Drosophila melanogaster: one gene and its partner. Changing the gene in region 2 together with the main gene of any one other region gives a genetic interaction. Each region holds a gene or a part of one and is shown on either strand. Other genes may lie near its edges. The genes, in order: Sod1 and Wwox.

Region 1 (5,354 bases), on a different chromosome or scaffold from region 2:
CACACCACAGACGCATGTGGAAGGAAGCGCAGCGAGCGGCGGCGGCGGAGGCGGCGGGGTTGGAGCTCTGCTTGCGCTAAAGAGGAACCATGTGATGGGCGGCGGGGCATCGCAGCATACGCTGCATCAGCAGCAGGCCGTGGCCCAGCAACAGCATTCAGAGATTATCTACGAGGAGTTGCCGACCGACTACAGCGGCCACATTGAGGCCAGCGAGGAGGAGTGCGTCACCACTGCCACCGATGCCACCGTGGCCAAGCGACCCAAGTATGTGTCGGAAGTGCTCTGATGCGTGCGGATCCAGAAGCACCGGCAGAACAAGGGCAAATAGTGAGGCCCATGGGTGTAAACGATTAGAAAGCAAAAACAAAAAAGTATCTCCATCTTGTATATTGAATTTGCCAATCAAAAACCTATACCTAAACCCCGAAATACAAATCAAATTAAATAGCCACACACGCAGAACTTAAGGAACATGAACGCACGCGAAGAGCAATGTATATGTAAATTGATATGGAACATTTTACAAATAGCAACTGTGAGATGATTGTGTTTGAAATGTTGGCCATGCAGCCGTTCAACGGCGGCGACTTATGCAAGCACACATTTTGAAAATTCGAAAACCCGATTCGAAGTAACGACTTTATCCCCTAGATCTGACGAATTCAATATGCTCGATGACGCTACTCTCTAAGTAATATAATAAATTTTAAGTTTACAACAAGGTAAAGCAGCAAACAAAGCAAAATTATCTAGATATATGCGATTGATTATTGTAATGATTGATGATTATGATGTTTAAGATGTTATAGCTATGTGACCGAATTGTGCGAGAAACGTGAAAAAAAATTTGGGGAAAATTAAGTAACAAGCAAGCAAACCACACAAGTAACAAACAAACAAACAAACAGGCGAATGAATAATATTACCTATCTACATACCTTTACCTATATCGATTTAAATATAATATATATATATATGTGTATATATATATATGTATATCTATATTAATATATATACAAATTATTAAAATACAAACAAAAACAAAAATGATGAAAATAAATAAGTAATATCTACAAATTTACGGATACAATAACAATATATAAAGATTGAAATGATAGCACATTATTTCTTATTAATGAAGAAAATCCCATTTAAGTGTTTGGACAAATTGTGTATTAAAAAAAAAAACAAAAATCAAATGTAAACTTTCTTGTTTCAATTTGTTAATATTTACCTGCTTTAATTGAATTAGATAGATGAATGAATACTAGTTGATACTAGTCAACAGGAGCGCAATCAAGTCTGGGCATTTATTGGGGAATTCCTGGATTCGTTTTTTATTTATACAAAACAAAGTAAATTGAATAGTTCCCGCCACTGTCATTGGAATAAATGGAAGGCTTCCAAGTGAACCACCCGTTCGTTGAACAGCTCAAAAAATTCAACGCCATTTGTGCAGTAAAATTGTTCCGTTTTCAAATTTTGTAATTTGTAGCTTTTATCCTTAAAAATGTAAATAAATGTCCCAATAAAACATGAGCTTGAAATATTACAAAGAAAAAATGCTTCCAGTAACGGCATAATAGTGTGAACGAAACTTTTGCACAACTGAACACTAACAGTAAAAGTTCCGCATGTATTTCTAAGCTGCTCTGCTACGGTCACACCATAGAAGATACCTGGAAAGTTCTCAACTTTTTTCGTTTTGATAAATTGATTAATTCATTCGAAATGGTGGTTAAAGCTGTCTGCGTAATTAACGGCGATGCCAAGGGCACGGTTTTCTTCGAACAGGAGGTGAGAATCCAAAATCATTTGAACTTCTCTGCTCGGCAAAATGTACGAAAAACAGAAGTTCTAAAGGTCAAATAGCCGGCTGCACCCGCGGCCCCCTCTTCCACTTCAATATGCTGCTTTAAATTCTGTCGAGCATTTTAATTAAGTCCGATTTGAGTTTACGCCTAGTCACCCAGCAAGTGCACCTTTATATTTATATAAGCCGCACCAAAATGCGCATATGTGTGTGCGCTCAAGTGCCTACAGCAAAGGTCACGAAATTGGTACTGGACATAAAAAGGAGTTAAGATATAAAGCTCACTTGTTCGTAAAGTATCGTTAAATATCAACAAATATTTGTTTTAGAATAAGCATTAGGAATATGGGAATAATTAGAATGATGCTGTTCATAATTAATTTGTACATCAAAGTCAAAGCAGCAATGTCAAGTGTCAAGTAAACGATTATAAACTTGATGATTACAGGTTATGTTTCAGTGCCGAGGAAATTTATGTTTTTAATCTATAAAGATAACCAAATGTTTACTTTGCTGCCTATAAATATTTCCGTTTAACGTGTGTCTATTAACAAATGTTATTTTCTATAATAACCTATTATCATATGAAGTTGGCCACGCTCGTTATCATAATCAGTGCTTCTGCTCACTATTATACACAACTTGTGTCTTATCAGTATTCGAGTATTATCTGAAGCGTTATAACCCAATCCCTTCATCCCGTCCACAGAGCAGCGGTACGCCCGTGAAGGTCTCCGGTGAGGTGTGCGGCCTGGCCAAGGGTCTGCACGGATTCCACGTGCACGAGTTCGGTGACAACACCAATGGCTGCATGTCGTCCGGACCGCACTTCAATCCGTATGGCAAGGAGCATGGCGCTCCCGTCGACGAGAATCGTCACCTGGGCGATCTGGGCAACATTGAGGCCACCGGCGACTGCCCCACCAAGGTCAACATCACCGACTCCAAGATTACGCTCTTCGGCGCCGACAGCATCATCGGACGCACCGTTGTCGTGCACGCCGATGCCGATGATCTTGGCCAGGGTGGACACGAGCTGAGCAAGTCAACGGGCAACGCTGGTGCCCGCATCGGGTGCGGCGTTATTGGCATTGCCAAGGTCTAAGCGATAATCTATTCCGATGTCGGCCACTGTGCTGATCTACTCTATTTAGCACTACCCACTGGAGATATACAAACGATATACATACTTCTAAACATAAATACATAGCCTGTGGTCTGTTAGTTGATACGCAACCTTTGAGGTTCAATAAATTGGTGTTTTGAAATTGCCCCATAAACAAAAGTTATAGTTTTCATTTGAGTTGAGATGGTAAGAATGAATATATCACTTGTTGCTCGACGAATTCGCAAGTAGAATCGGGTTATAGATTCGTATGAAATGAATTACATATTAGATGAGTGCAGAACCCAAAAATCACGATGAGACACACATTCGTTCATGTTTTGATAACATATCTCCGTTTTAGATTATTTATTTATTTTTGTAATTACTTTGGTTACTCTCCGGGCAGCCTGGTTAAAAGTCTTTAAAACACACTTTATAAACAATGAGTTAGGTAGTATTATTTACAAAAAATATTGTAAATCAAGATACTCGCCACATGAGTAGAAACTAATATTAATTTCGTGTGCGGTATAAATTCACTACAAAAGAACAAAGTCATATACTACGACGGGGATTTAAATGAACCTAGGTCTTGTTGAAATATGATTGGTAGACAATGCCCAGCGATGAAGTGGCGAATAGGGTGAAGTAGCTCCACCAGGTGGCAAAGCCCAGGAAACCCTTGTACACCTCCGTGGAGAAAACCTGAAAAAGAAATTATGATTAAAACTGGCATTGACGTGCACAGCAAGGATTCTTACGTTTTTCAGGCTGCTAAACGAAGCCTGCAGCGATTGCGCCGACTCAATAATATTAAAGTCACCATCTCCTTGGGAAACGGCAACACCAGCTCCTTCCGTTTCGCTAGCCGCACACTCGTGCTGCAGGACAACGCTCTCGCGGAAAATACCCGACCAGCTAAAGCCGCCCAGACTTTTGTACATAAGTGTGAGATAAAGGCATAGGATCAGTGGGGCAGCAAATTGCAGCGTCACAACACATAGATAGTAGAAAATAGACGAGATCTGTAAAAGGGAAAGGAGGATTTACTCGATGAACGTTTGTATAAAATAAAGACTGCCTCCACCTTCTGCTTGAACTCTACGTTGGTGATCCGACCGGCCTCCTTGCGCAGATCCATGATCTTGTCGTGGGCCAGATTCAGGTACGATTGCAGATATATGGGCATCAAGGCGAAACGAACCACCACCACAAAGATCACTAGCAGCAGGCGAAGTGTCTCAAAAACGTGTGGCTTCAGTCTGCAAAAATAATCGGGATGAACTTGTTAATTAGTAAAAACTAATTTAATGTGAGTAGGTTAACTCACAGTGGCTGTTGCATTCCTTGGAAGACGCGCACCGTCAGGTAATCGCGGCTAATGGGCCGAATCCACAGGATGACCAGAATAAAGGGCAGCACAAAGCTGAGATTCAGGAGCACTTGCAGCAACCGGTTGCCGCGACAGTACTTCAACGAATCCCAGTGCATCTTGGCCATCCGCAAGCCGGGGAAGGTGAACAATGAGCCGAGCAGGCCGCAACCCATGGCCAAAAAGAACTTGACCACGATCTTGGAGGCGGGACCACTGAAAAAATAAGAATAAGAGTGTAAATAAATAGAGATACGCGAAACAGGGGCGAACTCACGATGATGGCAGGCCCTGCTCGGTGAGGAACTTGGAAGCGCTGGCATTAAAGCTCGCATAGGCATCCTCCAGTCCCGTCTCCAGAATGCGCTCGTCAACGATCAGCACGACCATGGCCACCAGCAGGTAAACCAAACAGGCAACAATCACCATCGACCTCTCGCCGATGGACTCCTCGCTCTGGAAGTAGAGCACCGTAAGCGAGGACAGCAGCTTCAGGGCAAAGAAGATGACCAGCAGGCACCACACCATGCTCAAGTTGACCTCGTGGCGCAGCGGGTAGTAGAAGTGGAACAGCTGTGGAGGGGAATCCAAAATTAGTAAGTTATGGTATGCATTCCTAGAACTAGGATCACAGTAGTCGGATTTTCAGGCGAACAACCCGAGCTTTACCCACCTCGGAGACCACGTAGACGATCCCCGTGTAGACACTGAAGTCCAGCAGCCATTGATATTCGGTGAAGTAGCGCAGGTGGACAACATCCCGTTCCAACACCGGTGACGTCAACAGCTCCACCTCAATGCTGCGCGGTATGTGGAATTGTGCACCCGCCGCTCCTCCTGAACCATTTGCCTGCTTATTTCGACCACCTTTTGGTGGCTTCTCCTTGGGCACACCGCCGCGGGACCGCAGCTCATCGTCCGTGGGATGCAGGTATCGATAGAGTCCGGTGCGGCACAGAATCCACTTGGCGAAGGAGTAGTGTGGACTCAACTTCTGGATAACGCTGACCATCACCAAGGTGATGACCAATTGGGCGCCCAGCACAGCCTGCAATGGT
Region 2 (8,702 bases):
AACATAATGAAAAGCATATAGAACATTACAAACTCCAGATAGGCGCGATTATACGTCGGTTTCTTATACAAAAAAAAAAAAAAAAACTGATAAAAAATGCCAGTTGATAATATATTAAGAAATGGTTTGAACATTTTTGAATTTAATTATTATGCAGAAGTGAGCAAACAAATTTGCAATAGATTTTAAGAAGTGTGATAGTACTATACCATTAAGGCGTAATAAAAAATAAATGCAACTAACTGTTAAATGTCTTGAGTAAATGGTTGAATGCACTTAAAATAAATAAAGTTGCAATATTTTTCGCAGTTTCTTTCTTTCAATAACGGATTTAAATTTAAAAGCCAGCGTTGCCAGATAGCATGTAGCTAGAGTTACAGCTCAATGCCTAGCACAGTCATGCACCCTGGTGTGCGTCTCCGCTGTGCGTATTGTATGGCTATATTTAGTACATTTTCAGTGCCACCACAACATATGGCACAATAAATAAAGCAACTAAACAAGCAACGCGGGCTATAAAAGCGAAACGCAGCCTCGCAGATTGCAATTCAGACGCGAAGCAACAAGCAAGTGACATTGACTCCCAGCCGAAAGTGAGACTTTTGAGTAAACACACAAAGTGTAACTGCGACTAAGAAGCGAACAAAAACGAAGATTCGCCGGCATCATCTTGCATAACCGATAAAGGAAATCCAAACAAAAAACAAAATGCAATCCGTGACCAGACAAACGGCGCGAGTCCTGCCCCAAATGGGCAAACAAGGTGTGTGTGTGTGTGTGTGTGTGTGTGTGCGCACTGTGCTGGAGTGGCGATGCTAACGTTCTTTCAATTTTTCATTAACAGTGAGCTATCTATCGACGAGTGGCGCTTGGCGGGCAACCGCCAGCGGTGGCGACATGGTGGTCGAGATCAAGGAACCAAAGACGCGCACCGAGAAGCTAATGGCCTTCCAGAAGAAGCTGCGCGCTAAAACGCCGCTGGGCAAGCTGGATGAATTCTCGCGACATCCGTACCAGGAGAAGGAACCACTCAAGCCCTGGCCCAATCAGACCAATCCGTATACGGGCGAGATCGGCGGACCAGCCGGGCCGGAGCCCACACGCTACGGCGACTGGGAGCGCAAGGGACGCGTCTCCGATTTCTAGTGCCCAAATGAAGAGTTCCTTAACTAGTACTTAGACTGTTATTTAAATGCTAGCCATTAAGACTTAAAAACAAATCAAAATGTATACTTGTTTAGTGTAAAAAGAAAATACATGATATTCTTAACGTACAAAAGTTTATTTGCATTGCACTTATTGGGCAGAAACTATTAAAGAATTCAAAATATATCTTTGTAATGAATAGCTGGTTTAAAATGTAAAATTATACCTAATGGAATCATTGGTGGTAGCATAATGCATAAATATATTTAAAAAACAGTAGCCAAATGACTTGGCTAATGCTGCTCCTGCTCCACAAGCTCGGCAATCAGGTTCTCGCTCAGCTTCCACAGTTGCTGCTGCAGTGCAGCACTTTTGGACAACTTGCTGGGCTCGCAGAAGAAGCAATTGTTGAAGTACAGTCCAGACAATCCGGTCAGCTCGTTGGCCGTCGCACAGTAGATACTCGTGGCAGCCGCTTGTTGCTGCCATATGGGGCACAGAAAGCAATTAGTGAAAGTTAAGGGAAAACAGAGAGTTCTTCTCATTGCCAAACTCACCAGCGACTTGGTGAAGGGACGCACAATGGCAAAGAGCAGGCGGTAGAACCAATAGTTTCGTGACAAATCGCTGGACACCATATTGCCCGGATGCAGGCTAAAAACAGAAATGCCTCGCTGCTTCCAACGCTGCAACAAAAAAACAAAAAAAAAGGGTTGGCAAGTGGAATTCAATTGACCCAATTTAAGGACTCACCTGGGCGAGCTCCTGGGCGAACAAGACATTGCATAGCTTGGCATTGTTGTAGGCCATCATGCTCCAGTATTTCTCCGGCGGCGGCGAAAGGTGATGCACTGCCAGATTCTCCACGGGCAGGTTGGCAAATCTGCATGTTAGTTAGTAACTAAGATTATTTGCGACGCATTTCTTTGTCGGTACATGAGACCCACATGAACATTTCTCGTCCAAGTGAACTCACTGGACTTTGGCCCCGCCGGCCGACAATCGCGAAACGAGTCTTGATTGCCATTGCCGGCTGGCATAGCCGGCTTTAAGCGCTCTTTATTAATGAGATGCAGAATTAGCGCAGTGCAGGGCGCACAAAGGCTCCCCACGAACAATGGCGTGAGTCAACAAGTGGGGCCGGCGGAACAAAGCCCCACAATCGAACAAGGACCCTCTGATATGCATAGTGAACTCTATGGCGAACTATCTATCTATGTATCTATCTATCTATCTATCTATCTATCTATGTATCTATGTATCTCCAGTTTTCGGCGGAAGCCTCTGGAATCCTCGGCAGTAGCGCATGCGCAAGTCGCACATTTCCTGCGAATCCACGAATGCCGCAACATGAAAACATTTCTATACACAAACACATATCTGCGCGCACATTTCTGGACTTTGGATTTGTTTTCATTTTATTGAATATCTGCGCTCGGCTTGGGGGCGATGTAAATATAACGTCGCAAAATGTATGCAAATTCAGTGTTATTTATAAGTATGGGTATCCATTGGCATCCATGACAAATGAAACCCGTTGGCGTTCCATTTTTTTTCTTTTTTTATATATGTATATTTGTATCTTGTTGTGGTAGGTAAGCAAAAAAGCGTTCTTTTCGACTGTTTGCATGTAAATTAATTAGGTTCTACAGACAGATAAATTGCTGCTGAATGGCATTTAATTTTAGAACAATAACTCGTTGCTTTACCTTAAGACTCTAATTGAATTAATAATTGTTTAATGTCTGGACAACTTTTCCCACGCAAAAATATAATTATTTGAAAAAGAGAAACCTTAAATAAAAATATTTTATCTATGCAACAATGAATAACCCAATTTTTGTGAGCTGATGCAAGAATAACTAATTGTAAGTAATCTTTAATGTTTGAAAATGATAACCAGTCGAACTTCCATACCAACATTCATATCTTTTTCTCGCCCGTGTGAACGTGCAACAAAAGTCTCGTGCGCCACATTGGAGTACTCGCAGATAGTCATGTATGCTCCGCGAAGCCAAAAAATGTTGTACGTGAGCACAGCAACGAACGCAGCAGATACAAAACCACCTCCAATAGCCAGTATGTATGTACATACATATGTACATCCAGTTCAGTTTGAATTGGTATTGTGCCTCTTCACGAGATTCGCTCACCCAGTGATTTATTTGGTCTTTGACAGCATGCACAGTGAGCCATTCGAGCGGCCACAAATGAATCAATCTAATTAAGCGAGTTAGCGCTGATAAGGAAAATTATAGGGGCACTTTTTACATTTATAGTATCTATTTAAAGCATGCTAGTTTTGAACATTCAAAGTTTATCTTACAAAAAAAGTACTCTGCTTGGATTTATATGCGTAGCTAATCTGAATGTGTTTTAGTTTTAAAAGAAAAACAAAAATACTTTCTTCAGTTTAGTTAATTTATCTCATAGATATTTTTTAAAGAAAGATTACAATCATATTTTCAGAGCTCTCTACTCCACTGTGCTTACAGCTGCACGTGAGTTCGATCATATTGCTCTATTGTACGCACGTTTTTGGTTTTGATAATACAAAAACCCAGCTGCGTTGGCCTCGTAATTGTTTATATTTATGTGTTTCTTTGTTTGCCTCTGAGTGCGCAGCACAATATGTAAACGAAGCCTATGAATAATATATACTCATATATGCCAAGCTGAGTTCAATTACGTTTCGCCTTGAAATCGAATCAAACGGAAAACATCTTACGCAAACAAATCTGAGGCAAATAGGCAAACATTTTGGAAAACATTACACTAGACGGCATGGCTGAGGCGGAATGCATTTATTTCTGGTTTGGTCTATGAATAGTTTGGCCCCAAAGTGCGAAAAAAAAGAAAACGCTGGGTGCAAAGTCCACTATGCGGAATCATAAAAGTGCAATCAACTTGCAAAAATAAAAGAAGGCAACTCGAAATGGCAGACACACATTTAAAACTGATGGTGTCGAATACGAAATAGCTATTGAATTTATAACTACATTAAATAAATTAAATTAATATTGTAAAGTTATTAAGATAGTTAAAACATAAAGTATATAATTTTATTTTATTCCTTATTAAAAATATATTAAATATATATATTTTTAGAATGTGACATGCACCAAATTCAGCTTCAATTAAAATACCCGTGTGATTTTGATAATAATCATTTTGCACACAAACAGGTTGCAATAATGACAACTGTTTGCCGGCCAAAAACAGAAACAAAAAAATAATAATTATTAAAACGAGATTAACAGTGCTGACATTGAGAAATTTAATTAGGAAAGAAATAAGCCAAATTGATTCAAGAAAATAGGTTTAAGAAATTATATATAATACATCAATTTATATATTTTGAAGCTTCGATGTATTTTATTTAACTTAAGTAGAGACGATTTTCTATTGAGACAGTGACTGATAGTAAAATTGATACAAGAAACAATACGATCGAATTGTAAATAACTTTTTAATTCCCTTACTGATAGTGCGAAATATAACCAGTTGATTTTGTATTTCCCATGTAACCTTTTTTAACATATATCTTTTGAATACTTAATTTTTAAGATTGATCTATTGATATTTCATACGAAATATAAAACTTAAGTTCAGCGGTTAGTTTGTAACCTTTTATACACACCATAAGAATATATATGAATTATTTCGTAACTGGTATACTCTATTACCCCCTCCCTCCCTAATTACGTGCTAAAGTGCTCAAATTCACACTTACCTGTGCGACTCGGATGACAGCACAATGATCCGTGTTTTGTAGTCAAACAGTGTCTCCAGTTGCAATGTGAGGTAGAAATGCGACAGGTGCGAGACCTGGAATGTGGTCTCCAGACCATCCACGGTCCTCGTGTAGGGCAGTGCGAATACTCCGGCATTAAGGATGAGATAATCAATGTGGCTGCAATATAAATATAATTATCAATTAAATAATATTAGATTTTGAAAGCTATGCTACTGACCTAACACTCTGCTTAATTTCTTCCACAAATCGCTGAACTGAACGCAAAGAGCTCAAGTCGAGAGCGGCGAATCGACAGCGGGAACGTGCTGCAGGTCGCTCCTGGGCAATCCTTTCGATGGCCGCCTCTGCGGAGGATCTGTTCCGGCAGGCGAAGATGATCTCACAGCCGTGATGGGCGAGCGAACGAGCCGTCTCGTAGCCAATGCCACAATTTGCGCCCGTTATCAGCGCGGTGCGTCCATGCAAATCCTTGCCGTGCAGCACCTGCAGTGCCGTCGAACAGGAGTCAAATCGCTGGCGCACCTGGGCCACATTCTGTGTGGGCTCCTCCACGGCGAATGCCAAACGAGGATCCACATTCGTTCGTTGCTGCGTCTCCTTGTTGAGGAACATGAAACGCTTTCCCTGCTCATCGTAGTACTTCTCCCAGCCCAAGGGTAATTCGCCCGTGATCCGTTTGGAGCGACCCGTACGTGGATGTGTCCACTGTGATGTTTTTCCCTGCTGGCTAAATGGTGCAATTAAAAAATATCAGACAATGTTTACGACTCCACTGGACTTTTGACTTACTTCACATAGCAAACGGTGCCGTCATCGGTGGCACGTTCCTCCCAGCCGGGTGGCAGCTCATCCTCGCTATCTGTGTCGGGTAGGGCTATCATTTCGAATCAATTTAAACTTATTTAAAGCTTTATTTCTAAAGTATACACTTTTTATTGCGAAAAAGAATACAAAATAATTGAAGATATCGATAACATGCGGCTTAAGCGATAACTGCCGACTAAATGAACAGCTGTTCCGTTAAACGAAACATGTTACCCGCTAATAATCAGCATCTCCGTTTAACAGAGCTTTTAACCGCAACCGGTTGATTGGCGGTTGTTTTTTAAATTTAAATGATTTGTAGAAACTTAGCGCCTTGAACATTTGTGGGCATTGTTTAATCTGCCTGCTGTACGGTACATAGGATAATGTGAAAAGATTCAACAGCAACAAAAACCAATACAAATTTTCATAATTTACGTTTTAATTTATTTTTCATCATTGTGAATGATTTATTAGTTTCCTAACTATAAAGTCAACGAACTTAGGTGCTAAAGCTTAATAACTTATGATCCTAGAAACTAAGCGGCCGCCGGGGGCTCATTTATGAGTCCGTAGAAGAGCACCAGTTTCGTGGGATCGTGGCGCACAAGGACCATGAATGGAGTGTCTCCGCGGAAGAGGACATCGGGACCGGATTTCTTGAGGTATGTGACCGAAGACGCCGCCGCCTCCGTGCCCTGCTCGTTGACGGTGAAGTCCACTTTGTGAACAATGTCATCCACCACCAGATCGGAACGTGCTCCACCCGTTCCGGCTCTGCGCTGTGCCTCCAGATTCTGCAGGCTGTTGCCGCCCAGCGCATTCGTCCTCGTGGCCTCGTTGGTGGCGATGAGCGAGAGATCATTCTGCACCGCGCTAAAGATGCCGCCCAGCCCCATTCGCTGCATGACTGTCTTCAAGTTCACCGACTCCGTAAGATGCATCTTTGGGAATGCCACCAGAGCGGCCCGTCTGTACATTCGGCTGATCATGCTCTCGATCTTATCCGCCGTCAGACGTTTCTGCAGTGCCATTAGCTCCCTCACCGACGACTTAAACGGCTGGATGATGTACATGGTGCTCAGATTTCCCCTGTACGGCAGTCCAATGATCTTGCAGCCCAGCTCGTGATCCTCGTGATACGGATATGCACCACCGGTGGCCATCATCTGCACCCTCATCACCGGCTCCGTTCCCTCGCCATTCGGATAGAAGTTATCCGGACGTGTGGCTGACTCTATAAAGTCCGTTTCCCAGAATGCCTTAAAGTACAATGCGTTGGCCAGAATCATCCTGGTGGTCTGCGGAATATCGCTGGCGATGATGTTCTCGATGTGATTCTTTGTGTGCTGCGCCACATAAGCATTGATATTGTATCGTGCTGTCGCCGGACTGCCCTCGAAATCCTGAATCTGCAGATCCGAGGCGTAGACCTCGACGATCACCCGTCTGGAATTGCACAAAAGTGGAGCTCATGAGTAATAAATCAACAAGGCGCAGCTATTAGTATGCCAACAACGTTGTGCAAAGTGGAGCGATAGTATTGGGGAACTGGGGATGGGTTGGAATTGCAATATCTGGTGAGCTAAATAATAACTTGGGAAAGTAGTTTTTTTCCGCTTTTTTTGCAATGTTTGATCAGCTATAATTGAAGAATAAATAAATAATTAAATGTCTTAGTTATGTTTTTAAGTTAATCCATTCTTATCAGTGCTTTTTATTTGCCAAATTTTTGGCAATTCATTGTACCTACTATTTGACCTAAGGTTTCTAATTAAATATTTGATTAACTGATAATTCCAATTCCAATTCCGATTTAATTTTATTCAAGTTCTCTACATAAAAACAATCGCACTAAAAGTTCTTACTAAATTTGTTTGTCAATGGTTCCCATTTATATTCTAAACTTTATACGTACGTACGTACATATATATTTCTCAATGAAAGCTTGGGCTTTAAAGATTCATAAATATAAGTGGAATTACACGCTCATTTCTACACAGAAAAATATATTCTAATATTTTCTCGTTGTATATTATCTTCGAATATAAAATAAATACTTCCTTTTGGAGCACCACCATCAAGAGACACTAAACGCTTGATGATAATGGGTGAGATCATTTTGCTGGTACAATGAACCTGTTTCCCTCACTTGGCATTCAGAAAAGGAGATCACTTTAGCCCGCATGGCCTTCAGTTTTTCACGGTGTAAAACCTCAAGGCGATCGCTAATCGTTTGGCATTTCCCAGCACCCATTCCCAACCAGATATCGCTATAGTTCCAGTTTGCAGCCGGATAATTATCCGCTGCTCGGCTCACCTGTAGTCGGGATTGAGTGTGTAGCCGGTCTGTGTGAACAGTCCATTGGCCAGGTGCACCTCATGAGCACCGGGTCGCTGGGCCCGTCGATTGGATCTCATCGCGCTGCTCGCCCGCCAATCGGTCAGCGGTCGTCCTGCGGAGATCGCCTCCCTGGTGGGCTGTTGCAGATCCTGCAGCATCAGGCCGAACTGTTCGTGCAGCCTGGACGTGTCCGGAATATCGAAGACCGTGGACAACTCCTCGTAACTGCGACCCTTGGCGCCCAGGAGCAGCAGAGCCAGCGAGTGTACAATGCTCAGGGGAGAGTATATCTGGGTTTTACCGTTGGCCAAATGCTGGCCCAGAATGTTGGCAAAGTTCAGCACACTGTTCGCAATCCGATCAGAGGTGGCCAGATCCACATAGCCGTTGGAGTAGGCAGCCGGAAGGTTGGAAGGTTTCACCGAAGTGCCGGATATGCGATTCAACGCAGGGTCATTCTGGTTGCCAAGGCCGTTCACAAGGCCGGGCGATTGAAGGGGCACCGCAGGCGGTATCGCCTGAATGTGCTGCTGCGCCTCCTGTTGCATCTGATGCCGCCGCTGCATCAGTCCATTGATGTAGGCCATCGTTTCCGGGGTCCTCAGGTCATCACGAAATAGTTCCGATTCACAGCACACCGAACTCACGAGC

The links.
Region 1: of Wwox (region 2) and Sod1, changing one enhances a phenotype caused by changing the other (phenotypic enhancement), as found in Drosophila melanogaster (one study listed by BioGRID).

The regions. Positions count from the first base shown.
Region 1 is NT_037436.4:11,110,020-11,115,373, reverse strand, and holds Sod1 (superoxide dismutase 1), read left to right. Parts: upstream 1-1,633; 5' UTR 1,634-1,734; coding exon 1,735-1,800; intron 1,801-2,525; coding exon 2,526-2,921; 3' UTR 2,922-3,093; downstream 3,094-5,354. Other genes in the region: FoxK (forkhead box K), read left to right, coding at 1-289; emei, read right to left, coding at 3,510-3,629, 3,686-3,949, 4,012-4,186, 4,255-4,512, 4,574-4,869, 4,970-5,344. UniProt on the Drosophila melanogaster protein: Destroys radicals which are normally produced within the cells and which are toxic to biological systems.
Region 2 is NT_033779.5:7,998,405-8,007,106, forward strand, and holds Wwox (WW domain containing oxidoreductase), read right to left. Parts: upstream 5,883-8,702; 5' UTR 5,785-5,882; coding exon 5,693-5,784; intron 5,631-5,692; coding exon 5,121-5,630; intron 5,060-5,120; coding exon 4,880-5,059; intron 2,030-4,879; coding exon 1,900-2,029; intron 1,833-1,899; coding exon 1,704-1,832; intron 1,629-1,703; coding exon 1,440-1,628; 3' UTR 1,266-1,439; downstream 1-1,265. Other genes in the region: Sirup (Starvation-upregulated protein), read left to right, coding at 709-763, 845-1,146; Spn28Dc (serpin 28Dc), read right to left, coding at 6,247-7,156, 8,028-8,702. UniProt on the Drosophila melanogaster protein: Putative oxidoreductase. May control genotoxic stress-induced cell death. May play a role in TGFB1 signaling and TGFB1-mediated cell death. May also play a role in tumor necrosis factor (TNF)-mediated cell death. May play a role in Wnt signaling.